Sus scrofa: one gene and its partners. The main gene of each other region encodes a partner of the protein of the gene in region 5 in a complex. Links are inferred from orthologs where the notes say so. Each region holds a gene or a part of one and is shown on either strand. Other genes may lie near its edges. The genes, in order: POLR3D, POLR3K, POLR3C, POLR3E, CRCP, POLR3F and POLR3G.

Region 1 (4,143 bases), on a different chromosome or scaffold from region 5:
TGATTGACAATGTTGATATTCTGGCTTACAATATCCTACTATTGGGGAAACTGAGTAGAGAATTTGGCTCTTCGCATTATTTCTTACAACTGCATATGTATCTATTATCTCAAAATAAAAATTTTTACTTAAGAAAAAGTGCATCTTGGAGTTCCTGTAGCCGCTCAGCGGTTCATGAACCTGACTAGCATTCATGAGGACGCAGGTTTGATCCCTGGCCTCGCTCAGTGGGTCAAGGATCCCTCTTGCCATGAGCTGTGGTGTAGGTCGCAGATGCGGCTCAGATCTGGTGTTGCTGGGGCTCTGGTCTGGCGGCAACAGCTCCGATTAGACCCCTAGCCTGGGAACCTCCATATACCACCACTGAGGCCCTAAAAAGAAAAAAAAAAAAAAAAAAAAGTACATCATCTTGTGGCTAGGTATCACAAATTTGGAAATTCACCCTAGGAATATAATCCAAAAGAATAAAAAATTTTAAATGCACCAGGTGTTCACTACGTTGTTATTTACAACACTAGAAAAGATATAATTTAAGTGATCAAACCGGAAAACAGACAAATCATGATAATTCATGAGAATTACGCGCAGTCGTTTGATGCAGCAACGAAGAAAGGTTATTTGAAATGGGAGGATTCAAAATTGTGGTACAATAAGAAATCTCTGAAGGGGATTGGAATATAGCAGAAAAGTTTTAGTAGTTACTCCATGTGTGATTCTAACAAAAGTCTTCCTTCTCTCAAGCTTTCTGTAATGTTGTTACACGGTTTTCACATGATTTGGGGGTGGGAGGAATGACAGTAGAGAATCTTTTTTTCTAGGTTAAATTACAAATGTTGGAGTCACGAGAAAAGTTATTTAAAATTGCCCCTCCCAGTAGAGCAAACTTCGTTTTTCTGGTTCCAGGATTGGACCAAGAATGCACACAACGGCCCAAAGTCACGAAGCCAGGGCAGGTGCCGTTAGGCATTAGTTGCTCCAGCGCTGTGCCCGGTAAGGGATCCCTGAACAAGAGCGAGGCCTGGCCCAGAACTCCCCGATTCTGAGTCGGGGGTCTTGCTTTCTACACCGCGTCCCACGCCCCATCGTGAGCCTCGACCCGGATGCTCCACAGCAGCGAATCCCCACATTGCATCATGTTCGCCGCCCGACCCCCAGACCCAGAGCTGAACGGCTCCACTTCACGCTCCGGGGCACGACCCCCAAGCGCTGCAACGTGGCGTAACCTAAACCAGTCCCCTCTTCCTTTTTCGCCCTCTCAACCCAGCTTTTCCCGACTCCGGGAAGAACCGGGAAGAGAAGGCGGAGGGGAGCGAGGAGCCGCGGGATAAATAGTGTGGCCCAGCCCCACCCCCCGACCTCACTTCCGCCCCACGGCAAGATGGCGGCGCCCGGGCCCTGCCACGCAGACTTCCGCCCGGCGCGGAGGCCTAGGGTGGGCTGCGGGTCGCATTGGATGTGAAGTCTGGACGCGCGAGGTGCGGAGCTGCAGCCCAGGTGCGTTGAGGTGCGTCCGTGCCTGGTGCCTGGCCGGGGGGACCAAAGGAGAGAGCGAGCCAAGGGCTCTAGCGGGGGTGGTCCGGGGAGTCTCGCCACGTGGGAGGAGGAGGAACTGGGACGCTGCGGGAGGGCCGCGCTGACTGGGGGGCAGGAGGCCACGTGGGTGGGGTTCCGGCCAGGGTCCGCATGTCCTCCTCCTTCAGTGACTTCTTTACTCCTTTCCTCTCTCTGCCCCAGGCAACATGTCGGAAGGAAACGCCGCCGGCGATCCCAGCACTCCAGGAGGGTCCCGACCCCTCCTGCCCGGTGCCCGGGGGCTTATCGGGAGGAGGCCGGCGCCTTCCCTCACCCCAGGCCGCCTTCCCTCCATCCGCTCCAGGGACCTCACCCTCGGAGGAGTCAAGAAGGTACCCGAGGGCACCATTCTAAATGAATCCAAATGCCCTAAACTGCAGACACCTTTGACTGAAGTACCTGTAGGGCCTTCAGTATGGCAGGCATAGCGTTAGGCCTCACGAATCTTGCCTGCAATATCGGGGAACCTGCCCCTACCTTCCAGTCAAGCTACTTACTGGATACAAAATGTTGTCATGGCTCTCAGAAAAGGCTGAAGAGCAGAGAATCCTAATTAGATCAAAAGCACTTTGAGCAGTGTTCATTTCCTTTTTATGTGTGTTTTGAACATCCTTAAGAAAGTGCTGAAAGGAGTACCCATCCCGGCTCAGCGGAAACTAATCTGACTAGTATCCATGAAGATGCAGGTTCCATCCCTGGCCTTGCTCAGTGGGTTAAGGATCCCGCGTTGCCCGTGAGCAGTGGTGTAGGTCACAGTATTGGTTCAGATCTGGCATGGCTGTGGTGGAGGCCAGTGGCTACAGCTCACATTTGACCCCAAGCCTGGGAACCTCCATATGCTGGGGGTGCGGCCGTGTGGCCCTAAAAAGAAGATAAAAAAAAAACCCAAAAAGCTGCGAAAGCCACCCAGGCATAGAGTTTGCCTGCAGTTTTAAAGAGCTCTGAATTTGCTGTGGTTCCCAGTGTGCAGACATCTGATCCAAAGTATTATGAGTCCTAGGCATGGTGTTAGAGGCTCTGTCCCCTTGTATTATGTTTAATTGCCTGTAGATGTAAAGGATAGCCCTTAAAGGGGGGATGGGGAGGATGACAGAACATAAAGCAGACAGTTTTTGTCTTTTTTTTGTGGGGGGGGCACACCCTCGGCATATGGAAGTTTCCAGGCTAGGGGTTGAATCGGAGCTGTAGCTGCTGGACTCTGGTTCATTACTGCTGAGCCACAATAAGAACTCCAAGCAGCCAGTTTTTGAAGGCATGAGTTTACTTTGGGAAATTCTAGTGGCCTTCTGACCCAGTCATTTGCTTATGAGTGCTAATTAATTTGTCTTCCCTACTGGAGCCTTGTTGCTAGAGCTCTTTCCCTGTGATACTACGTGGTCTCTGTAGCAGTTTGAAGACAAGGAGTGAGATTAGGGAAATTTCCTTATTGTTAGAAGTCCCGAAGTTCTCCTTTCAGAGGGCAGAAGCTGAAGCTGCTGTTTAAATGTTTTTTGGTGCCTGTTTCTTCTATATGTAATTCCACTGCCACTATGATGTGACTTTCTTCCTTTTCAAGCACATGTACAGGAGTTCCCTTTGTGGCTCAGTGGGCTATAAACCCTACTAGTATCCGTGAGGATGCCAGTTCCATCTCTGGCTCCGCTCAGTAGGTTAAGAATCAGGCATTGCTGGAGTTCCCATCATGGCACAGTGGTTAAAGAATCCGACTAGGAACCATGAGGTTGCGGGTTCGATCCCTGCCCTTGCTCAGTGGGTTAAGGATCCAGCGTTGCCGTGAGCTCGGGTGTAGGTTGCAGACACGGCTCAGATCCTGCGTTGCTGAGGCTCTGGCGTGGGCGGGTGGCTACAGCTCCAATTAGACCCCTAGCCTGGGAACCTCCATATGCTGCAAGAGCAACCCAAAAAGACAAAAAAAAAAAAGAATCAGGCATTGCTGTGAGCGGTAGTGTATATGACACAGATGCGGCTCGGATCCAGTGTCGCTGCGGCTATGGCTTAGGCCAACAGCTGCAGCTCCAATTCGACCCCTAGCCTGAATTTGCTGGGAATTTCCATATGCTGAGGGTGTGGCTCTAAAAAGAAAAAAAAAATTGAGCATATGCCCATTTCTGTAAATCTTTGACAACGGTGTGGCGTGTGTAGAATAAAACCTTGCTGGTCTTTATCCATAGAAAATGCCCTTTGGAAGTTTTTATTTTCCTCTGTGCTTTGGGATCAGAACTTAACCAAATCAGTAACTCCGGTATTTTACTTTCAGAAAACCTTCACCCCAAATATCATCAGTCGGAAGATCAAGGAAGAGTAAGTAGCCAGACCTTCTGAATACTTGTTCCTTATTTACATACTTGGGCTTTGGGGGAAGGAAGTAGGTATGTGGTTCAGAAATTTAAGTTTATAAAAAGAAAGAAAAAAAGAGAAATTTAAGTTGATAGATTTAGTTCTTTTCAGTAGTTATTTTCAACCCTGGCTCCCAGGGGATTTTTTAAAAATTTTTTATTGTAGTTGATTTTTACAGTGGTCTGTCAGTAGGCTCCCAGGGGATTCTGATGTGCAAGCTTTAAAAAAATACTG
Region 2 (4,140 bases), about 25 Mb from region 5:
ATTTTCATGATGGGCAAAATACAAAGATTTAAAAACAGGAGTGTGCCAGGTCATACTGAAGCCTGAGGAGAATGGAGAAATCTTTATTATTTTTCATTTTTTTGGTTTTTTAGGGCTGCACTGGCGGCATATGAAGGTTCCAAGGCTAGGGGTCTAATCGGAGCTGTAGCCACTAGCCTACACCACAGTTCACAGCAACGCCAGATCCTTCACCCACTGAGCAAGGCCAGGGAGGGGTCGAACCTGCAACTTCATGGTTCCTAGTCGGATTCGTTAACCACTGAGCCATGATGGGAACTCCAGAAATCTTTAATACTGGTCTTTTTATCTGACATGATATCATTTTGTTTACCCTAGGTCTTTATAAACCAATGTTGAGTTTTAAAAACACTGTACTGGAGTTTCCATCCCTGGCCCCACTCAGTGGGTCAAGGATCCTGCGTTGCCCATGAGCTGTGTTGAAGGTCGCAGATGCCGCTCTGGATCCTGAGTTGCTGTGGCTGTGGTGTAGGCCAGCGGATTCCAGCCCTAGCCTGGGAATTTCCATATGCCCCAGGTGCGGCCCTAAAAAGACAAAAACAAAAAGCCGAAACAACAAAAAACCTCCTAAACCAACCAAAACACTATACTGAAATGTCATGTGTCCTGACTAGCGGGTTTTTGGCGCTCCTTTTTTATTTTTTTTTTGGCCATGCCCGCAGCATGCGAGAGTTCCTCTGCCAGTCGAACGCACGCCCAGCAGCACCCGAGCCACAGCAGTGACAATGGCGGAGTTCTTAACCGCTAGACTACCAGGGAACCCTTCGTAAATGCCGCGCCGGAGACCAGTGCCTCGCTCGCCTCCCAGGCCCAGTCGGAGCCTAGACCCTCGTTTACGCCCTGAGGCCGCTTCTGGAGGTCTCCGGGCCGCTGCCATCATCGGTACCCCAGAATCGGTCCTCTCCCTGACGCTGGGCTCCGGAGCGGGGGAAGAGGCCCCGACCCATGCGCACCTGGATCGGAAGGTCGCAGAGCAGCGGGTCCTGCACCACCATGGCCAGACCCTCTTGGAAAACGTCCACCGCCTCGGAGTGCGGCAGTGCCTCTTCCTCATCCTCCTCGTCCTCCTGCGGCTCTGGCCGTCCCGAGGCCCCCGCCACCTCCAGGGCGCCTCGCAGCCCGCGGGTTCCGCCCCCACACCGCCTCTCGCGACCCGGGCCCGGGATTCCCGGGCTTCCCGCGGGGAAAGCCACCCACGGCCCGGCCTTTGGTCGAGGGGCGGGGCTACCGCCAGGACCAATGAGAAATGATGCTTTGGGAGCCAGCCTGCCGCAGTGCACACTGGGAGTGCGGAGCCGACGTGCCTACTGGTGGGCTGATTGCTGAGAGGCGGCCGCCGGGACCAATGGGGAGTTCGGGGCGCCCGGAAGCCCCCGGAGTCCACGGCCAGGGAGCTGCAGGGAGCGTAGGCTGGGCTGTCGTGATGCTGCTCTTCTGCCCAGGCTGCGGGAACGGGCTGATTGTGGAGGAGGGTCAGCGCTGCCACCGCTTCGCCTGCAACACCTGCCCCTATGTGCACAACATCACCCGCAAGGTGGGTCCGCGCCGGCCTCCCGGCACGCAGGGCCGCAGCCGTCGTTCTCGCGGAGCGCGCCAGGCCCTGACCCTCACCTCCCCTAGCTCCGTCCTCTGCTTGGGTTTCGCGTCCCAGCAGCCTCTTGCCCGCACCGCCAGCCTCTCGGAGGCGCCCCGGTCTTGCCCAAGGCGCTGCTTCCAGGGTCTGTGCAGGAGTTTTCTGTTCTAGTCGCTCTTCCCCTAGGGACTCACTCGTTCCTGTCACTCCTGCCTGTATTTACCTAAGGGATTGTTTATATAAATGCGGCCTTTCCGTTCCCTAGTTTTATTTTTCATATAGGGCTCACTGCCTTCCAGTATACTTTCTTTTCTTTCTTTCTTTTTGTTTGTTTAGTTTTTGTTTTGGCCGCGCCCCCGGCACCCTGGCATGCACAAGTTCCTTGTGCTGGGGACGTGGCTCGGATCGTCATTGTCGAAAAATGAGGCACGTGAACACGGGGAGATCTCGACAAGGCTCTTTACTGCTGCAGAAGGGCGCTGGGCACCCCAAAAAGTGCGCGTGCCCCGAACAAAGGACCCTCCCCTGTTTATCCCTAACACAGGGGATGTACCCTGTCCCCTTCCCGTGGGTCAGGTCAGGGTGCACGTTCTTCCCAGTTGGCTAATTTGAAACAAACTGTTACTGGGAGAAGAGGGAAGGGGGGGGGGTTGCAGGAAGGCATTTCAGCAAAATGGAGTCACCAAGATTTCTTTTGCTTATGTCGCTTTCCACACCTGCAAACCTGCACCACAGCAGCGACAGAACCGGGACAGAACCAGGGCGGTAACCCGCTGAGCCAGCAGGGAACTCCCAAGTGCTACTTTCTCCTTAGTATTTGTATAGATTTGTATAGTGTCCTGCCATGTGGCCGTGTTGTGGGAGTTTAGGGTCTGAAACGACGCGGAGGGTGGACTCTTACCTACCCCGACAGGTCAAGGACGGCTGGTAGAACCTGGCAAGTGCTTAGAAAGCTCTGCCCGGAGCCTGGGGGGGGGGGGCGGCTCCCCGGCTGAGATTGCCCTTCTTTGGCCTCAGTTCTCTGGGGCCTCGTCTCGGGCTACCCAGCCTTAGGGGGTGTGGGAGAAGAGGAGGGCCATACCCGAGCCATGCTTCTCTTGCTCCTCTTGCTTTGTCCAGTCCTTGCAGAGACCTTCTCTTGGGGCAGTCCAATCATGGGTCCTCTAAGTTCTGATGGAGCAGGGCCTCTGCCTGTCCAGTACCCCTCCCGTCCGGGTTGAAGGGTGGAAGAAGCCAGACACCTGCGGGCAGGTGTGGTTAGGTGATCCTGGGGTGTGCGGTTCAGTCAGTTGGAGAGACTGAAGAGTGGCTGTTGTTTGTTAGGTAACGAATCGGAAGTACCCAAAGCTGAAAGAAGTGGATGACGTGCTTGGTGGAGCAGCTGCCTGGGAGAACGTCGACTCCACCGCAGGTGAGAGGGAGAGGCCTGTTCCCGGGCAGAGCTGTGGATGGTACGGGGCTGCTGACTCTGCCCCTCCGTGGCAGTCTGCTTGTGCTTCTGCGAAGAGGAAGTCTATATTTTCTTCCTTAATAATTTCTTAGAAATTTTTATTTATTCATGTGGTGGTTTTTTTGGTTTGTTTGTTTTTTGCTTTTTAGGGCCCCACCCACGGCATATGGAGGTTCCCAGGCTAGGGGTCTAATCAGAGCTGCAGCCGCTGGCCTCCACCCCAGCCACAGCAAGGCCAGATCCTTTACCCACTGAGTGAGACCAGGGATTGAACCCACAACCTCATGGTTCCTAGTCGGATTCGTTTCCGCTGCGCCACAACAGGAACTCCTTCCTTGATACTTTCTTTGTTCCAAAACCAGTGTCGGCACAAGCTTTGGAGCTGTTCAGACCTGATTTCGAATCTTGAGGTGGCTTACTGCCTTATGACCGTGACCTTTCTGGGCTACCTCCACATGCCACAAGTTCCCCGGCCAGGGACTTGGTCCGCGCCGCAGCCGCAACCCAGGCCGCTGCAGTCGGATTCTTCAGCCTCTGTGCCACACTGGGCATCCTTTTTGAAGTAACCGTGGGTCCCTTGTTTTTCTCACGCCAGAGCCGTGTCCCAAGTGTGAGCATCCTCGGGCCTATTTCATGCAGCTCCAGACCCGCTCTGCCGACGAGCCCATGACCACCTTCTACAAGTGCTGCAATGCTCAGTGTGGACACCGCTGGAGGGACTAGGGCCGGGTGGCCCCGCTGCCCAGCATCTGCTCACCTCATTCCCCAGGGCGGATTCCCAGCTGGAAGGGAACTGCGGGTTCTGAGCATCTTTGCCGGTGTGGCAGAAAGCCAGCCTTCTCAGAGTGGCCCGGCCGGGGGGCCAGGAGATGGCCCCCATCGCCCAGGCAGTGGATGAATTTGCTGACGTCCAGGGAGAACTTGTGTTTGGGGGCAGTGGCCACACCAAGTGCGTCTTATTTAGGGTCCTGTTATCCATCTTTCCCGTTTAGTGGGCAGTGAGCTTTCTCTCGCCACCAGCTGACGCTCGTAAACATTTATTTATATGTTGGCACACCCAAGAAAATGGGGCTTTGAC
Region 3 (4,178 bases), on a different chromosome or scaffold from region 5:
AATCAGCTCTCCAGTGTCACTGTACAGCGTTTTGGCAGTATAGATGTACCGGGGATACCTAAGCATTCGCAACACCCGGCTGCACTGGGCTTCATACTCCACCACACCACGTTTGTGCACTTGATATATCACCAGGTTATGCTGGATGAGGACACAAAGGGCTTTTTTAACCTAGAGAGGACACAAAAGAAAGAGAAAAAAAAATTGGAAAATGCAGTTCATTATTGTTGGCAATTTCTGTCCAACAATTTACTAAACTTCAGGAGATGGCTGGAACCTCCGTGCATCTTCTCTCTCTCCATTGGAATAGCTGTTAAGAATCGCATTGTTCATCTTATGAAGAAATCAGGAGGATTCCTAGCTCATATTTCCTCTGATCTTTATCTTACAAAGTACAACTTACTTGCTCTCTGTTACTGCCATTCCTTAAAGGTAGTGCTGAAATTAATAGACTCATCATGCATGAATGAAGTATGGCAAATGAAAAGCACAGGTTTGCCTAAGAAGCCACAGTGAGCCAGATCGCTTTGAGAAGCAGAACCTTAGGCACTATGTCTCATCCTCTCTCCCTCCCAATGACACTGTTCTGATCTCAGTGTAGCTCTCTTTTGTATTTTGTGGGGTGGGGAGTAGTAATATTCAAGGGTAGGTAAAGGAAACTAATGAAATAAAAGCAAATTAGTGTGATCCAAACATACCTGATCCAGCGATGTTCTTGTGTCATGGGCAATAACTCTTAGTGGCTGGCTGCCAGTTCTGATTAGGTGGACTCCAATTTTTTCTACAATCTCTCCAAAATGCTCTTGCAGCAATAAAGAACACAGTTTAATTTCTGCTTGAGTCATTGTACTGAGAAGTCTCAGACCTGAGAAAAGAAAAGAAAAGAAAAGAAAAAATAGCACGATGGGAAGTTTTTCTTTTATGTTGGAGTAGAGCTGCTAAGTGTAAATTCATGTACTTTTTGGAGGGCAACTTGACAGTAGATACGTCAAAAGCCTTAAAATCTTGCATATCTTTGACCTAATACTTTTGCTTTGGCTATTTTGTTTCAAGCGAATAATAATGATGTCACTTTAGAATACTGACATTCCAGAAACAATATAATATCTAACAATACGGGATTATTTCAATAAATTATGGTAGACTCATACAATGGCATACTACGTCTATGTTTACAATGAAGTGTAACATGTATTAGTGTACAAAATTGTTCATTAAGTGAAAGAAGCAGGTTACAAAGCAAAATGTAGAAGAAACTTAAATTATTGTGAAAAAAAAACCCCCTTTTTTCTTATAGGTATAAGAAAAAAAAGACTGCAAGACAATATATCAAACTTATCCTTATGGGATGTACGAGTCCAATTTTCTTTAAATATCGTGTGTAGATGATTTTATTTGGAGGAATTAAGGACACTATTCACAGCCTATTGGGAGTGAACAGGAAGTGTCATTCCCAATCCGTAAGAAATGACAACTTTGCAAAATAAATTAGGAGCGTCTCAACAGAGTGTTTCAAACAACAGATGAAGCATGTTGTTGGCAGGGCAGTATTCTGAAATTTCTACTCCTTGACAAAGTAGACACAAAAAGAAACAAACATAGTTGACTATAAAATCACTTGTTGTCATAAGTGCTACCACACACTGGTCTGTTCATTTATTTCTCCCAATCCCTCAGAAGCCAAGACTGTGTCTTTCAGTCTCAGTATTCCCACTCACAGGTCTTTGGGGAAGTATCCCCAGACCATCTGCCATCCTTGATAAGGATTTCCAAGGAACCTGGCTCCTGATTCTACACTTCCTTCCCCCAGGTTCCGGTTCCGGACTGGGTCCCTGGGTCTAGAGAAACGGCCTCATTCAGACCGCATTTTCCACTAACCTCTGGGTCAATGCAATCTAAAGCCGCCGCCGACCTCGTGCGGCTCCAGCCAGCGGCTCGAGCAGAAGGCACCCCAAGGCCCTTTTGCGCAGGAGCCCGGCCAACGAGGAGGGTCAGCAAAGAGGAAAAACGTGTGCCGCTCTACCCCAGCGTTTCGGTGGTTTCCGGGGACGCTCTTGCTTCCTTCTCGCTGGGAGGTTGGAGGACCGGCGAGGGGTGTTAGAGGAGCCGGCGGGAGGGCAGCGCCGGACGGACTCTCCTTCCTGTAGCTCTTTGGTGCCGGGAGGCGGGCCGTGGGGTCGCCGTCCTCGCCGACGCCTTGTGGGCCGGGCGGGCTCACGTGACCCGCGCGGACTCTGGAGCGGCCAGCTGCGCTGAAGAAGCGGCGGCGGCGGAGGCAGAGGCGTCTCTTGTAGCCGGGAGGTAGCGGCCTGGGGAGCGACGGGCCGGCTGCCCTCTCGGACGGCGGCGCCGGGAGAGAAAAATGGCGGAGGCCTCGGCGGCCGGGGCCGGCGCAGGCGCCGCTGTTGCCGCGCACCGGTTTTTCTGCCACTTTTGCAAGGGCGAGGTCAGCCCCAAACTACCGGTAAGAGTGTGTGTCCTCTGCACGCCAGCGTCCGCGTGGGTTCCTCGTCCGGATGTCCCAGAACGGCGCTTAGGCTTCCCGCACAGCCCCGACTCCCCTGACATGGGTATCCCAGGTACCTGCTGCCCACTGTCTCCTAAACCCCGGGCGTCCGGGCTGTGTGGCTCAGTAACTCCCGCCCAGCCTTTTTTCCATTCGGATGCTCCACCTGTCCCTCACTCTTTCCCCTTTTTACCTGCCCTCTATTATTTTTTTTTTCCTGGTTTTCCTTAGCAAGTTTTCTGCTGACCCCCTCCTCTCCGTTTTCTTACATTCTTCTTCACCTTGTCTCTTTCCACAATGACCTCCCCCCCCCTTCCGCTGTTGCTTCTCATCTTTATTTCCTTTTCCACTTTTCATCAGATCTCCCCTTCCACTATCCTCATTGAAGCAATATAGCGGATTGCTGAGGATTGTCTTTATTCATTGTCTCTAGGGAAGGAGGGAAGAAAGCGGGGCGGGGGGGGGAGGGAGGGTTGGAAGGTAACTGGGCAGAGAGGGGGATTTTACTCTTCAGGGGTTTCCAGCGTTCTTGTGAAAGTGAAAACAGCGGTGTACTAATGACTTGCGGACTGCGATCCCAATCACTGTCGAAGGAAATGGCTTTAGGAAGAAGGCAGAACATATTCTTTCAACTCTCTTATTTTGGTTGTCATGCTGCCAGTATCTTTAGCACCACCTGCCTTACCCGCCCCTCCTTCCCCTCCCCCATTCTCTCTCTTCACTTAGTGAGAAGATCTAGGACAGAATGTTGGGGACTGCATCCTCTGACGTAAAATTGGTTTTCGTCAGTTTCTGCCAGACTGTGTTAGCCCCTAGAGAGGTAGTGCTGTTGGCTGTGGAAAAAAAGTGCTTCTGCAGCATGCTTGCCAGCTATTGCACCCCAAGCCCAGAGGCTGTTTTAGGTTGAGTTACTACTGCAGGGAGATCCACCAGGGTGAATGTTAATCCTACCTTTGGCCAACCATCTTTAGAACTAGTTATGGTTGTTCTTTTCCTTAGAAGTATCTTTGTTCAGCCTTAAGAGGGTGTCTGTGTAACTACTTATCTCAGTGTTTATAGTGTCTCAGATACAATCTGTGAGAAAGCCTATTAAAGTGTGTCTCTGTGTCTTAGTTCTTAGAAACACCAGTGGAGTCCAGTGAAAAGTGCCTAAACAGTATTTTAGCCTTTTCACTTGAGTTGTGCTTTTTCAGGCTTTTGCTGTATTTTCTTTCTTCTCTATTTGCCCCACCCCTAACTTCATGGTCGTAGTTTCATCTACACGCTCTTTTAGTTTTGCTTGGATGATTTGGCTGTGTGTCTGTGTCTGTGTGCTTTTTGCTATACTTCAGTGCTGAGAAGAGCAGGTGCCGTGGCTTGTTTGTTTGTTTGTTTGTTTTTCCAGTGGACATTGGAGGCTCCAGAACTCTTCCTTACCACAGAGAGGGAGTCTGGAATTCAGCCAGTGCATGTGTGATGAGTGACATGTTGAATGTGATGCCCTAATGAACAGTGAGGCCTTGGCTATTCTGATCTTTAAGTTGCTGTTCACCGTTTGCCTTTGAGAGTGAGAAAACAGTCTAACTTTCCTCCACTTACTGTATCTTTTCTCCCTACCATCTCAAGTCCTCACTTCAAAGTGCTCTTGAAAAGGGCTCATTTGAAAGACTTTTTAGGTGTTTTTCTAAGCCTT
Region 4 (4,188 bases), about 7.3 Mb from region 5:
TTAATCCGCTGAGCCACAACAGGAACTCTGAAGCGATGGTTTTTACCCTCAGTCATTAAAATTAAAAATACCGGTTACAATCCCTCTAAGTTGATTTCACATGCCACTAATAAATCTGGAACTGCAATTTAAAAAGTACTGCTCCAACTAGTCTTTCCTGCCTCCAATCCTCCCAGAAACAGCCAGAGTCGTCTTGCAGAAAAAGCAATCACATCATTTCTCTACTCAAAGCCCTTCAACTATCACATAGAATAAAATCCAAATTCCTTTCCGTGGCCTCAAGGTCTCATGTGAGGCTAAGCCCAAGTCTGCCCCAGGACCTTTGCACCTCGTCTATTTTCCTCCTTTCAAGGCTGACCTCTTTTCATTAGATACCATCACCCAGCCCCTCCAGGAGCAGAGAGGTTCTCCGACTATCCACCTTAAACAGCACCTCCGCCCTGTAACTGTTTCCAGTCACGACCACATTCAGGTTCTTATCACCATCTGGAAAAACCTAGTCTATTTGCTTCTGAGTTGTCTATCTTCTGCATTAGAATGTAAGCTCCATGACAGCCTCTCAGGGCTTCAACCACAAAAGTTGAAGCTGAGTTGATAGAGGGATTACTATCTTTTTAAAAAAATTCATGCTGATCTCCCAATATGTAGAACAGGACCTGGCATAAAATTATCACTCAATACAGTACACAAAACGCATACGTCAGGCAGCTACAGACCCTGTACCCAGTGAGTCTAGCTCAGCCCCACTGAGAGACTAGTGGCCTCATGGCTTGGGTCTCCTGGACACATGAGGATAGGGGTGTAGCCTGTCCTCCCAGGCCACCACAAGCTAAGCTTCCCTAGCAGGAGTGAGTGAACCCCTGGGCCTCCACAGGGTGACTTGTGGCCACAAGGGGACACTGTGGCTGTGGCTCCATGGTGCTGGGCACAGAAAACAGACCCCATCAGGGGTTTTGCTCGACAAATGGAAAGGGGACAAGAATGCCAGGTGAGCTAAGGAGGTGTTCAGAGCAGAGGAGCAGCCTGAAGGCCCCAGCCAGCTGCATCCATCTATGCTGTCCACCAAACTGAAAAGCAGAGGGGACTGCAAATAATCTCCAGCTCCTAGAGGGAGTGAGATAGGGTGAGGACAAGATGCTTCGGAGTTAAGGGGAAAGGCCCCTGGGCAAATAGTCTCAAGGTCCGGGTTCTTATTGGCTGTGTGCCCCTCCACACGTTCCCCCCCTCTTTGGGTCATCCCTTTCCACTTCCATTCAAGGGAAGGATAGCCTAGGGGCTAGAAGAATTACCTCTTAAAACTAGAGTCAGACCCTCCCTTCTCCAAGAACTTAAAATACATATTCCCATTTCTCTGCTCAATAGCCCTTTAAATCAAGATTTACCATCTCCAATTAAGAAAGCAGAAAACAAAGTTCAGAGTGTTAACTTACCCCAGGGTCACAGTGCTGGAGAACGGCAGAGCTAGGACACAAACCTAGGTCTAGCTGATGGCAAAAGATCCTTATTCTGGTTCTTAACTACTATGCTGCAGGCATCTTTAACAAAAAGCAGGATAGTACGGTGGGTAAGAGCATGGACTCTGAGGCAGAACTCTGTAAGTTCAAATCCCAGGTCTGCTGCTCGCTACCCTTGTCCCACCTGGAGCTGTTTGATCTTAGGACTGCTCGTTATTTTCATCCCTAAAATGGGGATAACAAAAGTACCGACCTCAGAGGACTGTGGTGAGGGTTAAATAAGGTATAAATGTAAGCCAAGGACAGGTTTGTTACAACTTGGCACATTTTCTTCCAATATAAAAGGGTAGGAGATCTAGCCAGGAATCAAAATGCTGTAAGCTGGGGCTTCTCCCGCCTTACCCTACTTAGTCCTCACCACAACCCTATGAGGTGGGGAATTCTGTTATCCCCATTTCACAGATAAAGAAATTGTGAAGCTTGCTAAGAGCTCTTTCTGCCCCCAAGCCCCAACGATTCTAAAGCTAACACAACAGAGCGACCTTGTTTATTTATTTACTGGTTTACTTGACGTGCTTACTGACACCTCTTCCGACCAAATGGTCAGGGCTGTATCAGCCGCCCGTAGTTGGTTTTCAATTAGCCCTGAGTGGTGGCTGGAATAAATGAATGAAGAAATCCGGGCCTGGCCGCGCGGAGGCTGCTCTGGTTCAGCAGCCAGGAGAGGGCCTGGGTATCCTCCCCCTGCCCATCAGGGCGGGCCGCCGGCCCCGAGCCACACTGTCCAATGGGTTTCGCCTCCCTCGCGGGTGGTCAGGCCCCCTTCTCACGCCCACCACGCAGCCATCGCTACGAGCCGCCACGCCGGCAGGTCACCGGCTGCCTTCGGACAGGTGCTCCCATAAGGAGGCCCGCCTGAGCCGGGCGGGGCAAGGCGGCTGGCCCCTGAGTCACCGCCGGCAGCCTCGGCCGCGGCCTCACCAACCACCGGGCCCAGCCGAGGTCGAAGCCCGCGGCCGGCCCAGGTCGACTGAGGCAGGTTGCCCGTCCTTCCCCCACCGAGTCCCGAGCGGCCCCCGGCCTCTGGGCACCGCGCGGCGCGGGCCTCCCGGCCTACTCCGCAGCCCAGCCCAGGCCCACCTCCTGAGTGCGGCCCGGCTCCAGCCCGGGCAGGCGCAGCCCACTCGGCACTCACCTCTCCGCGGGGCCCGCAGGCGGGCGGCTGCAACGGCCCAGGTACCCGCGGGCTGCAGAGGCGGCGGCGGCCCGGCTCTTCTCTCAGGCAGCGGCCATGTTGCCGGTGGAGAAACTCGGGCGGACACGTGGGGGGAGCAGGGCCAGCCCTCGCGCTTCCTTTTACCCACAATGCCCCGCCCCGGCGCACGCGGACCCGCCCCCCTCCGCCGCTCCATTCATGAGGTGAGCCAGCCCTTCCCGGCAGCAGGGGGCGCTGATGCTGGCGCAAAACAGCTGCAAACCGTCAAAAGATTGACCTTGGCAGCGGTGGGATTCGAACCCACGCCCCCGAAGAGACTGGAGCCTTAATCCAGCGCCTTAGACCGCTCGGCCACGCTACCCGGTTATGCAAAGTGCCTTCCAGAAAACTACTTCATACGTTTATGTGCATTTGCGTGTACGTTTCTTCTTCCGCTTAAGTGCTTTACTTCATCTTAATAGAACTATTTAGAATATACCAGGTACAGAAAATAAAATATTTCCTCTAATATTTAGACCAGTCTTGTTCCGAACCGATCTTAGAATGAAAAGCAGTTTAAGAATCTGTATTCTTAGTGGGCATTAAACCCGGAGACCCTAAATTAACCCACACGGAAGACATCATGGACTTCAGCAGTAACCTGCGCCAGGGGCTCCAAAAGCCAAACCAGGGGGATTTTCGAGTGGGCCGTTTTCTCTAAAAGCTCAGGTGTTTTCATTTTTAGTTACACAAGTTTTATGTGGGTTATTGCAAAATATTAAAATTTTTCAGACGAAGTACCAATGTTCTTTTACCTTTGTCCCCCATTGAAGTCCCTCCACTTAGTACACTGTGTATCCTTCTGGATCTTTTGCTGTGAATTTATATGGATATATACGGATATATTCATATGGATAGATATATCCATGGAGAGTGTTTCGTTTTTATCATTGTGGATTTTTACATGAATATAAATATTATTATACTATGATTATCTGCAGCTGACTTTTTTCACCCCACTATGTTTCTTAAATATCTATCCAGGTTGATACATATATAGATATTTAAAAATACAGAAAAAGCGCAAAGAAAAAACAATTATCCATACACCCACCACCTAACGTTGTGGCATTTCACTTTCAATTTTTTTCCTATGTATACTTTTTTCCCTACCTATATGCTTTTGTTATTAAAAGTACGAATATGTTGTCCTTTAAAAAATCCATTAAAAATATTAGACCATTACAAATAAAAATGGACTATTACAAATAAAAATAAAAGCCTCTTCCCAAATGTCATGAATTTGATGCGTATCCTTCCAGTCCACTTCTCATACTTTTCTATCCACCTGTCCACCCCTGTGTACATATACCCAGGAACAATATATACTATGATTTTTTGCTTTTCATTTATGTAAACCTTACTATATTGTACTTATATCATTCTGCCACTTGCTTTTCTACTCTAGTTATGTTTTTTCTATTTATTTTTGACAGATGTAGATCTAATTTATTCCATGCTATGAATATGGAATTTACG
Region 5 (3,963 bases):
TGTGACCTACACCACAGATCATGGCAACGCCGGATCCCCAACCCCCTGAGCAAGGCCAGGGATGGAACCTGCATCCTCGTAGATACTAGTCAGATTCATTTCTGCTGTCCCACAATGGGAAGTCCCTCAATGAACAATTTAAACTGCAGCACTGTCTTAGGAGCTAGCAAACAAATTACCTTCTTTTCTGTCCTGTTACTGAATTGCTTAAGGACCTCTTAGCTAACTTCTCTAAATCTCAGTATTTCCAGCTATAAAATGAAGGAAATTCTGATATTATCTCAAACAGATTATAGAGAAGAGTCCATTCTCCCTATGTATATTAAGTTCAAGAGTAAAAGAATGGGAGTTCCCTCTGTGGCACAGGGTGTTATTAAGGACCCAGCATTGCAACTGCTGTGGCTTGCTGCTGTGGTGCAGGTTCGATTCCTGGTACTGGAACCTCCATGTGCCACAGGTGAGGCCAAAAAAATTAAAATAAAAGAATGAACAGAAGGAGTTCCCACTGTGCTACAGTGGGTTAAGTATTCAACTGCAGTAGCTTGGGTTTCCACAGAGGTGAAGGTTCAATCTCTGGCCAAGAGCAGCGGGTTAAAGGATCCAGCAGCATTGGAGTTCCCATCGTGGCTCAGTGGTTAACGAATCCGACTAGGAACCATGAGGTTGTGGGTTCGATCCCTGGCCTTGCTTAGTGGGTTAAGGATCCAGCATTGCCGTGAGCTGTGGTGTAGGTTGCAGATGAGGCTCAGATCCTGTGTTGCTGTGGCTGTGGTGTAGGCCAGCGGCTACAGCTCCGATTAGACCCCTAGCCTGGGAACCTCCACATGCCGTGGGAAGCAGCCCTAGAAAAGACAAAAAAGTAATAAAATAAATTAAATAAAATAAAGGATTCAGTGTTGCTGCAGCTGTGGCACAGGTCACAGCTATGGCTTGGGTTCAATTCCTGGGGCAGGAACTTACAAATGACATGAAGCCATAAAAATTTTTCTGTGTTTTTGTCTTTTCTAGGGCTGCACCCACAGCATGTGGAGGTTCCCAGGCTAGGGGTCTAATCAGAGATGTAGCCACCAGCCTAGGCCAGAGTCCCAGCAACTCAGGATCGGAGCCAAGTCTGCCACCTACACCACAGTTCATGGCAACACCGGATCCCTAACCCACTGAGTTAGGCCAGGGATTGAACCCATAACCTCAAGGTTCCTAGTCGGATTCATTAACCACTGAGCCACAACATCAACTTCCTCGGCCATAAAAAAAAAAAAAAAAAAAAAATCAATGAATAGAAAGTGGAGTTCCCATGGTGGCTCAGCATAAACAAACCTAAGATAGAGGATGGCAAAATCAATTTAAGGAGTCAACATTCTATTTTAATAGAAGAGACTACTAGAGTTACTGTATACAACACTGTCTCAGGAAGCTTTCACTTCAGATACATATACGTATTGTGGTTTTTTGGGTTTTTTTGGGTTTTTTTTGTCTTTTTGGCATTTCTTGGGCTGCTCTCACTGCACATGGAGGTTCCCAGGCTAGAGGTTGAATCGGAGCTGTAGCCACCGGCCTATGCCAGAGCCACAGCAATGAGGGATCTGAGCCGCGTCTGCAACGTACACCACAGCTCACGGCAATGCCGGATACTTAACCCACTGAGCAAGGCCAGGGATCGAACCCGCAATCTTATGGTTCCTAGTCGGATTCTTTAACGAGCGCCACGACGGGAACTCCAACTGCGTGTGTGTGTGTGTGTTTAAGTCTGCAAAACAGTACATATAAACGTGAAACATGAAGTAAAAGAACATAAAGGAAAATGTCAGGATTAAACAATCAGAGTTCCTGTCCTAGCTCAGCTGCAATGAACACGAGAAGTATCCATGAGGATGTGGGTTTGATCCCTGGTCTCTAGCCTGATAACTTCCATAAGCCACACCTGTGGCCCTAAAGAGCAAACAAAACATAAACATGTTGCCAAAGAGAACGCAACATAGGTATAAAAATCCACATACAAAGTAGCTGCAAAAACTTCCCTCTGCACGCAGTACAAGGAGCAAACATGGAAAAGCCGATGTGGAGTTACAATTGTTAGAATGGCTTCTACTCCTAGCCCCCCACCCCAACCCCACACGGCTACCTGCTTCTTAACTACTTTGCAGAGCACCTCCTCTGAATCCGGGCTCCCCAGAAGCCCACTGCTCCTAAGCAAAACTCTACTCCAGCATTTCCCCACCTCTCCTCCAGGTACTTCCAGGCCGGACCCAGGGTTTAATAAGTCCCTGCTCTCATACCCAGCTCCCCACCGCGACCTGGCGACGCTGTTGAGTGCGTGAGGGAGGGAACAGACACCTGGCACCCCTAAAGGCAGCCGGGCCAAGTGGCCCTCGCCCCACGTCCTGAGCACGCGGTGGGAGAGGGGGCGAAGGTTCAGAAGGCCGGAGGGAGAGTCCCTTCCTAGCCTCCTGGCCCGCCGCCCTCCCCGCCCGCCCGGACGAGGAATCGCCCCCGGCCCACATCTCCCGGCTCCCAGGAATTAGCCGTCCCCAGCTCTGAGCGTCGCCCTTGAGCCGACGACGCGCCCCGGGCGGCTTACACTTCCATGTCGTCCCCGCCTCGTCGCCTTCGGCCGGACACAGACCCTCACCGCCCATCCGCTGCTCTCGCCGCCCGAGCAAAGCGCCCGGAAACCGACTCCGCGGACCGCGGTGCACGCCGGGATCGCCGCGCTGCATGCCGGGATCCTGGAGGACCCCCGTGGGGCCGGGGGCGTTGCTGGCTCGTCTTCCCGACCCGTCTCTGCGCTCTTGGTCCGACCTCAGGCTGTCAAACGTTTGCAGACGGATTTAGCTCACGTTTTCGTGGTCTAGGGTATATCCAAGTATTAATCCAAAGATGTAATCGGATTCGTAGGCATTTGCAGCGTTAAAATCCCACCCCTTGGATAGTAGCGATGGCAAGGGGCGAGGTGGCCTTGGGCTGCTGGACATGCTCTCTTTCAGGATCTGGACGCCGAGTAGGTGGTGCTTCTGAAAATTCGGTGGGCTGTAGCTTATGTGCACATTTCTGTATGTGTGTTATAATGGAATAAAACGTTCTAAAAGGTGAAAAAAAATCTCAGACTCCCTTCTCCCTGTTCCCATTCTTCACTATTTGTCAGAAAATTATGAAGAGACTTCTTGACAGTCTCTGATCTGGCCTTTCTAAGAATTTGCCCAAATGGAATCATCAGATGCTTGACGAAAGATCAACGTGTAATGATAATTTTGCTGGGAGATAGCCTACATACCCAACAATGGAAAATTGATAAATCGTGTTTCAGCCATACAGTATGCAGTACGATATATGTGGCCCAAGTAATCTTGTAGCATATTTGATATGCTGGGGAAATGCTCAAGACAGATTTTTTTTTTAAGATGGAAAATGATGTGTTGTGACTCTAATAATCTAAAGAAAAATAATGCATAGGGGAAAAAAGACCTCAGGGTAAGGGTGATACAGCCACCTAATCTATGAAATTTTGTGTCTTAAAAAAAAAAAAAAAAAAAAAGAGTTCCTGTTGTGGCTCAGCAGTTAACAAACCCGACTAGCATCTATGAGGACTCAGGCTCTATCCCTGGCCTCACTCAGTGGGTTAAGGATCCAGTGTTGCCATGAGCTGTGGTGTAGGTCACAGACACGGCTCTGGCGTAGGCAGGATGTTACAGCTCCTATTCGACCCCCTAGCCTGGGAACCTCAAATGCTGCAGACACAGCCCTAAAAAGACAAAAAGGAAAAAAAAAAGTGGAAGGCTGATGTCTATTTTCTTCTGAATTTTTAGTATGTTTGAAGTATTTGGAAGGAAATATGCCAAAAATTAAAAATGGCTGGTGTCTTTAGGTGATGAATCAATTGCTAATTTTTCCACTTTTTTATAATTATATCAGTTATCATTTACTAAACACTGTCTCCTTGATAAGCGTTTTGTTATTCCCTGATAT
Region 6 (3,500 bases), on a different chromosome or scaffold from region 5:
TGAAATCATGTGATTTTTATATATGTTAGAAAGTTAAATTAACATTTTGAAAACAGGAGTTCCCATTGTGGCTCAGCAGAAATGAGCCTGACTCGTATCCATGAGGATGCAGGATCAATCCGTGGCCTCTCTCAGTGGGTTAAGGATCCAGCATTGCCACAAGCTGCAGTGTAAGTTGCAGATGCAGCTCAAATCTGGCTGTGTAGGCCAGCAGCTGTAGCTCTGATTCAACCCTTAGCCTGAGAACTTCCATATGCCGCACCTGCAGCCCTAAAATTAAAAAAAAATAAATAAAAACAAATATGAATAAATCATTCTCTATTTAAAATATTCTTCTGGGGAGTTCCTGTCGTGGTGCAGTGGTTAACGAATCTGACTAGGAACCATGAGGTTTCAGGTTCAATCCCTGGCATTGCTCAGTGGGTTAAGGATCCGGTGTTGCCGTGAGCTATGGTGTAGGTAGCAGACATGGCTTGGATCCCATGTTGCTGTGGCTCTAGTGTAGGCCGGAGGCTACAGCTCTGATTCGACCCCTAGCCTGGGACCTCCGTATGCGGAGGGAGTGGCCCTAGAAAAGGCAAAAAGACAAAAAATAAAATATTCTTCCTATTTCATGCCTTTATGCTGGGAAGAAAATGCAGCAAAATATCTTTACATAAATTCTCTTTATGTAACACATTTCCTTCTTTGAAAGAAAAATCATAGCTTTCTGCACAGGCCTTTAGTGACCATAAGAAGTATAATCTTTCTGTTTTCCAAACAGAATGTTGTATAAATAATGGACATACATGCATACAGATGCTCCCATAAAGAGCTTTTTTTTTTTTTTGCTCTATATTGAGAATGGCAGTTCACCCTGGCCCAAACTTAATTTTGTTTTTCACATAAACAGTCTAAAGTGAAATTTCCACAAAAAAGGGGTTAGAGTGCAGGAGGGCATGGAAAAAACAATACAAGTTAATTCAATTATATTCAAGATTTTTCTAACATTATAAAAATGTCCTTTTTATATGATTTTCAAAAGGGGCCACACTAGCATTTCAAGAAATTTCCAGTTAGCAAATAGAACATATAATTTCTGTATTGTGTTGAATATTTTTGTTACTCTGTCTGAGGTTCTTACCTCTTAGTCGTTTTTCCTATAGCTCTGCCCTAGGTACACATACATATATATGTATTTTGCTAGATTTGTAATGAGATATAAGCAATGGGAAGAGAAACACAAATCCTGTAATGTTCAACTTATTTTACTTTACTTTCTTATAGGAATATGGAGCAGAGATATCCGATACAAAAGCAACTTGCCATTGACAGAAATTAACAAAATTCTAAAGAATCTAGAAAGTAAAAAGCTTATCAAAGCTGTTAAGTCTGTGGCAGTAAGTAGTCTTCTCTTTTCTTCCCCTGAACGTTCACTGTACATGTATTTCTCCAAGTATATTTCAGGCTCTTATTGTTCTTTAAGCTATGTCATGATTTAAAACAACTGACCAAAAAAGATTTTTTTAAATGTAGGTCATGGAGTTCTCGTTGTGGTGCAGCAGAAATGAATCTGACTAGTATCCATGAGAATGTGGATTTGATCCCCGGCCTCCCTCAGTGGGTTAAGGATCCAGTGTTACCATGAGCTGTGGTGTAAGTCACAGATGCGACTCAGATCTGGTGTTGCTGTGGCTGCGGTGTAGGCTGGCAGTTGCAGCTCCGATTTGACCCCTAGCTGGAAACTTCCACATGCTGCAGGTGCTCAGTGGGTTAAGGATCTGGTTTTGTCACTGCTGTGGTGCAGGTTCAGTCCTTGGCTCAGGAATTTCCACATGCCACAGGCGTGGCCAAAAAATAAAGTGCTTGAACACAAAATTCAGCATATAAGAATTTGATAGTCATCAGTGATTTTATTTATCAATGATAGTTATCATACCACTCCCTCATTTAGAATATTATTTCTCTGGGAGTTCCCGTCGTGGCGCAGTGGTTAACGAATCCGACTAGGAACCATGAGGTTGCGGGTTCGGTCCCTGCCCCTGCTCAGTGGGTTAACGATCTGGCGTTGCCGTGAGCTGTGGTGTAGGTTGCAGACGCGGCTCGGATCCCGCGTTGCTGTGGCTCTGGCGTAGGCCGGTGGCTACAGCTCCGATTCGACCCCTAGCCTGGGAACCTCCATATGCCGCGGGAGCAGCCCAAAGAAATAGCAAAAAGACAAAAAAAAAAAAAAAAAAAAAAAAAGAATATTATTTCTCTGCTGTATTTTTACTGAATAATTTCAAATATATACAAAAGTATGTAAAATAACAAAGTGAATCCCTACATACCCATGCCTGGCTTCATGCTTCATGTTGCCAATCAAGTGTCTTATTTTTTTTTAAATATTTTTTAGTAACTGCTTTATTGAGATTTAGTGGGTTGTAATATATTCAGAGTTCTGCAACCATCACACTCTTCTAATTTTAGAATATCTTCATCACCCTAAGATGTGACTTCACTAGCAGCTACTCCCTAGCCTCCCTGTCCCCAAGCCTTGACAATCATTAGCATACTTTCTGTCTTTATAGATTTGCCTTTTCTGAACATTTAATGTGGTCTTTGGTGCCTGGTTTCTTTCACCTAGCATGATGTTTTCAAAGTTTCAAACTAGAAATCAAAAATCAGTATTAGATTGTAACCCAAAATATAAAATAGATATTCATGAGTCCATACTGATAAAGATGTTTGAATAAGTCAATAATGGGAGGAAACAGACAAATCTCCCATGCAGAAGAATTCCAAATGATTTAGTAGACCTTCCATCCTCAAAGAAATAGAGCATAACTCCCAGTCCTTAAGTCTGAGCTGTGCATGGTGGCTTCTTTCCACAAATGGAAAGGGCGGCAGAAAGTAACTTCACAGTGGAGAAAACTGAGAACCACCACCAGATCAGGTGATCAATTTGTAATGTCAATGCTGATACGTTTTATATATATATATGTGTGTATATATATATATATATATATTTTTTTTTTTTTTTTTCCTTTTCGTGGCCTCATCTGCAGCACATGAAAATTCCTGGGCTAGGGGTCAAATCAGAGCTGCAGCTGCTGGCCTACCCCATAGCCATGGCAACAATGGATCCAAGCTGCATCTGCAACCTACACCGCAGCTTGCGGCAATGCCTTAACCCACTGAGCAAGGCCAGGGATTGAACCCGCATCCTCATAGACACTATGTAGGGTTCTTAACCTGCTGAGCCACAGCAGGAACTCCTGATAAGTTTTATTGATGACAGTCAGTCATCACTTGGTGCTGCTCAGGTACCCTTGCTGAAATATGAGAAGGGCACTTTACTTCTGTGGTCCTTTTTCCAGTCTAATCAGACAAATCCCAGTTAAGGGACATTCTACAGAATTTTTGCCATTCAGGTGAGTTTCTCAAAACTGATAAATTCATCAATAACAAGGAAAGTCTGAGAAAACTGTCACAACTAAAATTTGTGTATTTACATCTACTTACGCAAATAAGTAAATGTA
Region 7 (4,300 bases), on a different chromosome or scaffold from region 5:
AAGCCTACAGGTGTGAACCGGGCAGATGAAGTCAGCAGTTCTCAAAAGCATAGAGCATGACATGCACTCTCCATGAGGCGTCATTCCTTTTAAGGAAGACTTTTCGCTAGAAAAGTGCCTGAAAATGTCGGACAGATGTTTGGGGAAAGAATGGAAATCCTAGATATAAGACTCTGTTGGTGTTATTGCTGTACGTTACACAGGAAACTGACTAGGGGGTGGGGCCGGCTCTCATTTGAGTACTCTGCATTGCTACCCGGTGCCAGAGCTGGTCTCCGGTAAGGAGGACTAAGACGGCCTACCATCGACCTGATGTCGACTGGGGTTTTGAATCAGGAAGGGTGAAACAGAAGTAGTGTTTCTGCGATGGGACAAAATAAGGCCCCTTACAGCCACGCACGTCTGCAACAAGCACTCCTCGGACAGTTTCTCCCCAATCCCTTCCCTTAATGAGAGAGCGCGCGCTCGTGAAGGGCCATTACCATCCTGCAGGATGAGGGTGGGCTGCACCGCCTGCACTCGAAACTGCCTGGCCCTCCAGCCGGGGCTCGGAGCCCGGACCACCTCACTGTCGGACAGCCAGGTCACGGTTTCAAAGTTGTCCCCGCGAGCCAGCGCCTCGGCCTCGGCGTGGTGCACTGCCACCCGGTCGAACTGGTAGAGGCCGCCGGAGTGGTCGAAATGCACGTGAGTGGCCACAGCCAGCAGTGGCCGGCATGCCGCATCCTCTTTGGCCTCGCGGTCCTGCAAAAGGCCAGAAGAGTACAGGTACTCCGGGAGGCTGCGCAGGCCCAGGCCTGTGTCGATCACAACGTCTTGCTCCGAGCCTCGCACTAGCCAGATGTTGGCGCGGTTGCCTGACTCATAGAAGCGTTCCTGAATCCAGAAGATACCGTCGCCCAGAGACTTGTGGGCGTACCACTCGAGCGCCGACATGCTGAGTAGGGATGCGGCCAGGCGGAGTGGGTGTGGGCGTGTGTGCCTCCTGCAGGCTGCCCAGACTCCGGCGCTGCGGCGGGATAGACTGGTCTGCCTGCAGTCGGGAAGAAGGCGCAGAGCAAGAAGGGGGCGGGGGATGCAAAAGGAGTGGGAGGAGAACTGGGAGGAGGAAGGACTCTCGGAGACGCTGCCTTCCGCACCCTCCCTCCCGGTCCGCAAAGAACAGAGACCTATCTCCTTGCACCCCGGTGCAGAAACAATCGCAGCATCAGAGGCCACAGCAGAAAGTAGCGTCAATTCAGTAGACAAGGGATTCAGAAAGCGACACTCTTCCTACCGCCAGGTGTTTGACTGTAGAGGGCAGGGGCCAGGTTTGGAAGGCCCCAGGGCCGCCCACACACCGCGCGCCGTGATGCGCACTTCCAGCCGGCGCAGAAAGAGTCAGGCCAAGGAGGTTGGACCGGTACGGTTCCCGCCAAGGGATAAAAAGCTCTCTCCCCAGAGGGCGGGGCCTACCTAGCGAGTGGGCGGAGCTAACTGGTGCGATCGGAACGCGATTCTGAGGCCTCGTGGAGGGCGGAGCGCGTTTTTCCAGAGGTGGAACCAGCACTCGGCGTCGGAACCTTCTGTCCGCACCCCTTCCTTGCCGGCCGGCACTTCGGCCGCACAGTTTTCTCAAGCTTCGAGACTTAGTAAGCAGGTAACAGAGGAGGCAATGGAGGGGTTGGGAGGAGATGGAATGAGTAGGGGGGGGAGTTAAAGGGGCACGTGGAAAAGACCGGGGAAGGCAGGAGTGGAGATTCATTAAAGAGCCTCTGGATTGAGGGACGTAGCGAGATCTCTTAATCCCTTCACAATCTTTTGAAATCGTCGTTCCAGATTTTATCTTGTCTCCACTTATTAGGACTGTTTTCAGTGAGTTCGAAGGGAATTTATGCTTTTACTGATGGTTGATTTTCAATTCCGATGGTATGATTGCTTCAAACACGAGTCATTGCCGCAGACTTGCTGCTAAGGACGCACTATTCAGTACGTTTTTTGTTTTTTGTTTTTTACCGTTAGCACTTTACCCTGTACTGTGAGGAGAGGTGTTGTTGATAAGGTTTTACTTCTCTTCTGAAAAATTAAATTATATATTCCTTCCCCTCCCCTTCCTTGTTTTGGTTACTTTGCCCGCTGTTGGAAGAGAGCAAAGAAAGTTGGTAGAAAGGCTCAACTAAGGAAGGGTGGAGGCAGCTGCACCTTGTGAGGGCAGGAAAAGTGGATAATGATTGGGTGTGGCCCCATCAGCTGAAAAAATCATCCCTAGTATTAACATAAGGTCCCTGTCCCCATCCCTCAGCTCCTCGCTGTTGGTATATCCATTCAGACTTAAACAATTCCCTTGAGAACTCGACTAACCTCCCTATCCAGCCAGGAAAAATTATAAAGAGACCCATGAGACAGCATTATAAAAGATAATTATGAAAACCCTTATTGTCTCAGCTACTAATAAGCCTTCATAGAGGGAGAGGTGTTCTCTCCTTCCCTATAAACCTTAAGTCTTTGAGGGGGATGCAACTTTTCTGAATGTTTACCTAACCTAGTTAGAATTTATCCAGACACTCTGTTCAGGGCTATCCTTATGTACAAGTCCCTCAGCTAAATGATGTGTGAAAAACAGAATTGTGTTGTTTTTTTTTTTTTTTTAAAGTCATGATCTGGGTTCTCAGGAATTTGAGGGAAGCAATATCTTCACAAAAATGTTTGCAGTAAAAAGCAAATGAGATATGTACCCCAGAGGAAGTAAAAACCAGGTGCTATGAGAATATGCATGGAAGGGACTGATGAGTAGAGGCATTTGAGCTGGCCTTAAAAGACCACTGTTGTTAGGATGTTCTCAGCACGAAAGTAGAGAGCTCTCTGTAGTTTTATTTTTCCTCTAGGTAAAGGGAGGTGAATTGGAGTGATATTCTTACTAAGCCATGAGCTCAGCAATAATTCATCCAATTTTTATTGGACTTTTGCCAGGCTCTAGTTGGTGATGGGGCAGGAAGAGGTGAATAAATCTTCAAAGAGGCCTTCACACTTACAGATCCTTCTGCTTGTATTACACTTTCCCTTGTATATCCTTTCCTGATTCTCAGCATGGCCTTTTCCTTCTGTCAGTTTTGTGCTCAAATATTACAGAATACAGGACCTCTTCAACCACTCTTTCTGTAATAGCACCCATGTTTCCTGCTTTTTTTTTCCACATCACTGATCACTACCTGACATTTTCTATGAAATATTTTTTCCCTTTCCTGTAGTAGACTCTAAGCACCATGAAAACAGGGGTTTTGTTTTATTCACTATTATATTCCCAATTCATAGAAGATGGCCTGACCTAAGAGTGCTTAATTAATACTTGAAGAAGGATAACTGAAGAACTTATGGGGAGACAGACAAGAACTGATGATTACAACATGCTTTTTAAATGGTAATAAAACAGGGTAGTATTTGGGAGACAGAAAAGAGAGAGGCCTAGCTCCACTTAGGGTGGAGGAAATGGTCTCAGAGAAGTGGCATTTGCATGGTATCTTAAATGATGATGGGGCTTGCTCAGGTGGATGTGGCATCCCAGCAGAAAGAACACTACAAGCAAGAGCTGATATGGCAGATTTGGGAGTGGTCAGGAAAGGAGAAGGTGCCAGATGCACAAAGTCAGACTCCAAAGCTCTGTTGCTTAAGAAGGAGAGTGAAACATCAAGGTTTATGTTCTAGAGGGATGTCTGGAGAGTGGTTTGAAAGAGGAAGTCTGGCTATGGGAAGGTTGGTCCGGGTCAGGGATGGTGAAGAAAGGCAGATATGTGAAAGGGGACACAGAACTGATAGTCTTCTACCATTAAATGAGGATATCAAGGGAGTCGAGGACAAGGTCAACAGGACCAGCTTCTGAATAGGGCAATTTAAGTGTCATTCATCAGGAAGGATACTGTGACCAGACTTTCAGTGCCTCTCTCAGAATCCATACCTGCTTATATGTTTATTCACTTAGCAAATTTGTGCAAGAGACTGTGAGAAGTGGAAGACAATACATTTAAGCCACAATTATAACTCACAAGGTTAGAGCTAGGAGGAATTTCGGGCATGAGCGCAACCTCTGCCACAAGATTGTTTCCATGCTTTTGCATTTCAGCTCTTGGATGCTTGAACTGCACTTGTCAAACTATTTTAGAACACTTCTGAACAGAAATTTTCAGAAAGCATCCCAGAATGGAAGGGTGGTGCCTCTGATTTTATATTTTTAAATCCAATCCATTTGGTCATTACTATTCCACTTCATTGTAAAGATTAAAGACATCTCTGCGATTTAAAAGGTCTTCAGCTAACCTGGTAGTGT

The links.
Region 1: CRCP (region 5) and POLR3D share a complex: the UniProt entries of both Homo sapiens proteins name them as parts of the RNA polymerase III complex. The link is inferred for Sus scrofa from reciprocal best matches to the Homo sapiens genes CRCP and POLR3D.
Region 2: CRCP (region 5) and POLR3K share a complex: the UniProt entries of both Homo sapiens proteins name them as parts of the RNA polymerase III complex. The link is inferred for Sus scrofa from reciprocal best matches to the Homo sapiens genes CRCP and POLR3K.
Region 3: CRCP (region 5) and POLR3C share a complex: the UniProt entries of both Homo sapiens proteins name them as parts of the RNA polymerase III complex. The link is inferred for Sus scrofa from reciprocal best matches to the Homo sapiens genes CRCP and POLR3C.
Region 4: CRCP (region 5) and POLR3E share a complex: the UniProt entries of both Homo sapiens proteins name them as parts of the RNA polymerase III complex. The link is inferred for Sus scrofa from reciprocal best matches to the Homo sapiens genes CRCP and POLR3E.
Region 6: CRCP (region 5) and POLR3F share a complex: the UniProt entries of both Homo sapiens proteins name them as parts of the RNA polymerase III complex. The link is inferred for Sus scrofa from reciprocal best matches to the Homo sapiens genes CRCP and POLR3F.
Region 7: CRCP (region 5) and POLR3G share a complex: the UniProt entries of both Homo sapiens proteins name them as parts of the RNA polymerase III complex. The link is inferred for Sus scrofa from reciprocal best matches to the Homo sapiens genes CRCP and POLR3G.

Annotation. Positions count from the first base shown.
Region 1 is NC_010456.5:6,519,670-6,523,812, forward strand, and holds the start of POLR3D (DNA-directed RNA polymerase III subunit RPC4), read left to right. Parts: upstream 1-1,343; 5' UTR 1,344-1,494; exon of another isoform or gene 1,495-1,504; intron 1,505-1,734; 5' UTR 1,735-1,739; coding exon 1,740-1,904; intron 1,905-3,829; coding exon 3,830-3,873; intron 3,874-4,143. UniProt on the Homo sapiens protein: DNA-dependent RNA polymerase catalyzes the transcription of DNA into RNA using the four ribonucleoside triphosphates as substrates.
Region 2 is NC_010445.4:41,570,389-41,574,528, forward strand, and holds the start of POLR3K (DNA-directed RNA polymerase III subunit RPC10), read left to right. Parts: upstream 1-1,340; 5' UTR 1,341-1,384; coding exon 1,385-1,573; intron 1,574-2,935; coding exon 2,936-3,023; intron 3,024-3,657; coding exon 3,658-3,785; 3' UTR 3,786-4,140. UniProt on the Homo sapiens protein: Core component of RNA polymerase III (Pol III) which synthesizes small non-coding RNAs using the four ribonucleoside triphosphates as substrates. Can mediate Pol I proofreading of the nascent RNA transcript.
Region 3 is NC_010446.5:99,491,338-99,495,515, forward strand, and holds the start of POLR3C (DNA-directed RNA polymerase III subunit RPC3), read right to left. Parts: upstream 2,801-4,178; 5' UTR 2,465-2,800; coding exon of another isoform or gene 2,363-2,464; 5' UTR 1,879-2,362; exon of another isoform or gene 1,835-1,878; intron 871-1,834; exon of another isoform or gene 866-870; 5' UTR 846-865; coding exon 699-845; intron 172-698; coding exon 1-171. Other genes in the region: E3 ubiquitin-protein ligase RNF115, read left to right, coding at 2,363-2,464. UniProt on the Homo sapiens protein: DNA-dependent RNA polymerase catalyzes the transcription of DNA into RNA using the four ribonucleoside triphosphates as substrates.
Region 4 is NC_010445.4:23,877,832-23,882,019, forward strand, and holds the start of POLR3E (DNA-directed RNA polymerase III subunit RPC5), read right to left. Parts: upstream 2,801-4,188; 5' UTR 2,650-2,800; intron 1-2,649. UniProt on the Homo sapiens protein: DNA-dependent RNA polymerase catalyzes the transcription of DNA into RNA using the four ribonucleoside triphosphates as substrates.
Region 5 is NC_010445.4:16,619,206-16,623,168, forward strand, and holds the start of CRCP (DNA-directed RNA polymerase III subunit RPC9), read right to left. Parts: upstream 2,801-3,963; 5' UTR 2,587-2,800; coding exon 2,579-2,586; intron 1-2,578. UniProt on the Homo sapiens protein: DNA-dependent RNA polymerase catalyzes the transcription of DNA into RNA using the four ribonucleoside triphosphates as substrates.
Region 6 is NC_010459.5:26,729,339-26,732,838, forward strand, and holds part of POLR3F (DNA-directed RNA polymerase III subunit RPC6), read left to right. Parts: intron 1-1,266; coding exon 1,267-1,379; intron 1,380-3,500. UniProt on the Homo sapiens protein: DNA-dependent RNA polymerase catalyzes the transcription of DNA into RNA using the four ribonucleoside triphosphates as substrates.
Region 7 is NC_010444.4:97,646,756-97,651,055, forward strand, and holds the start of POLR3G (DNA-directed RNA polymerase III subunit RPC7), read left to right. Parts: upstream 1-1,500; 5' UTR 1,501-1,639; intron 1,640-4,300. Other genes in the region: MBLAC2 (metallo-beta-lactamase domain-containing protein 2), read right to left, coding at 483-936. UniProt on the Homo sapiens protein: DNA-dependent RNA polymerase catalyzes the transcription of DNA into RNA using the four ribonucleoside triphosphates as substrates.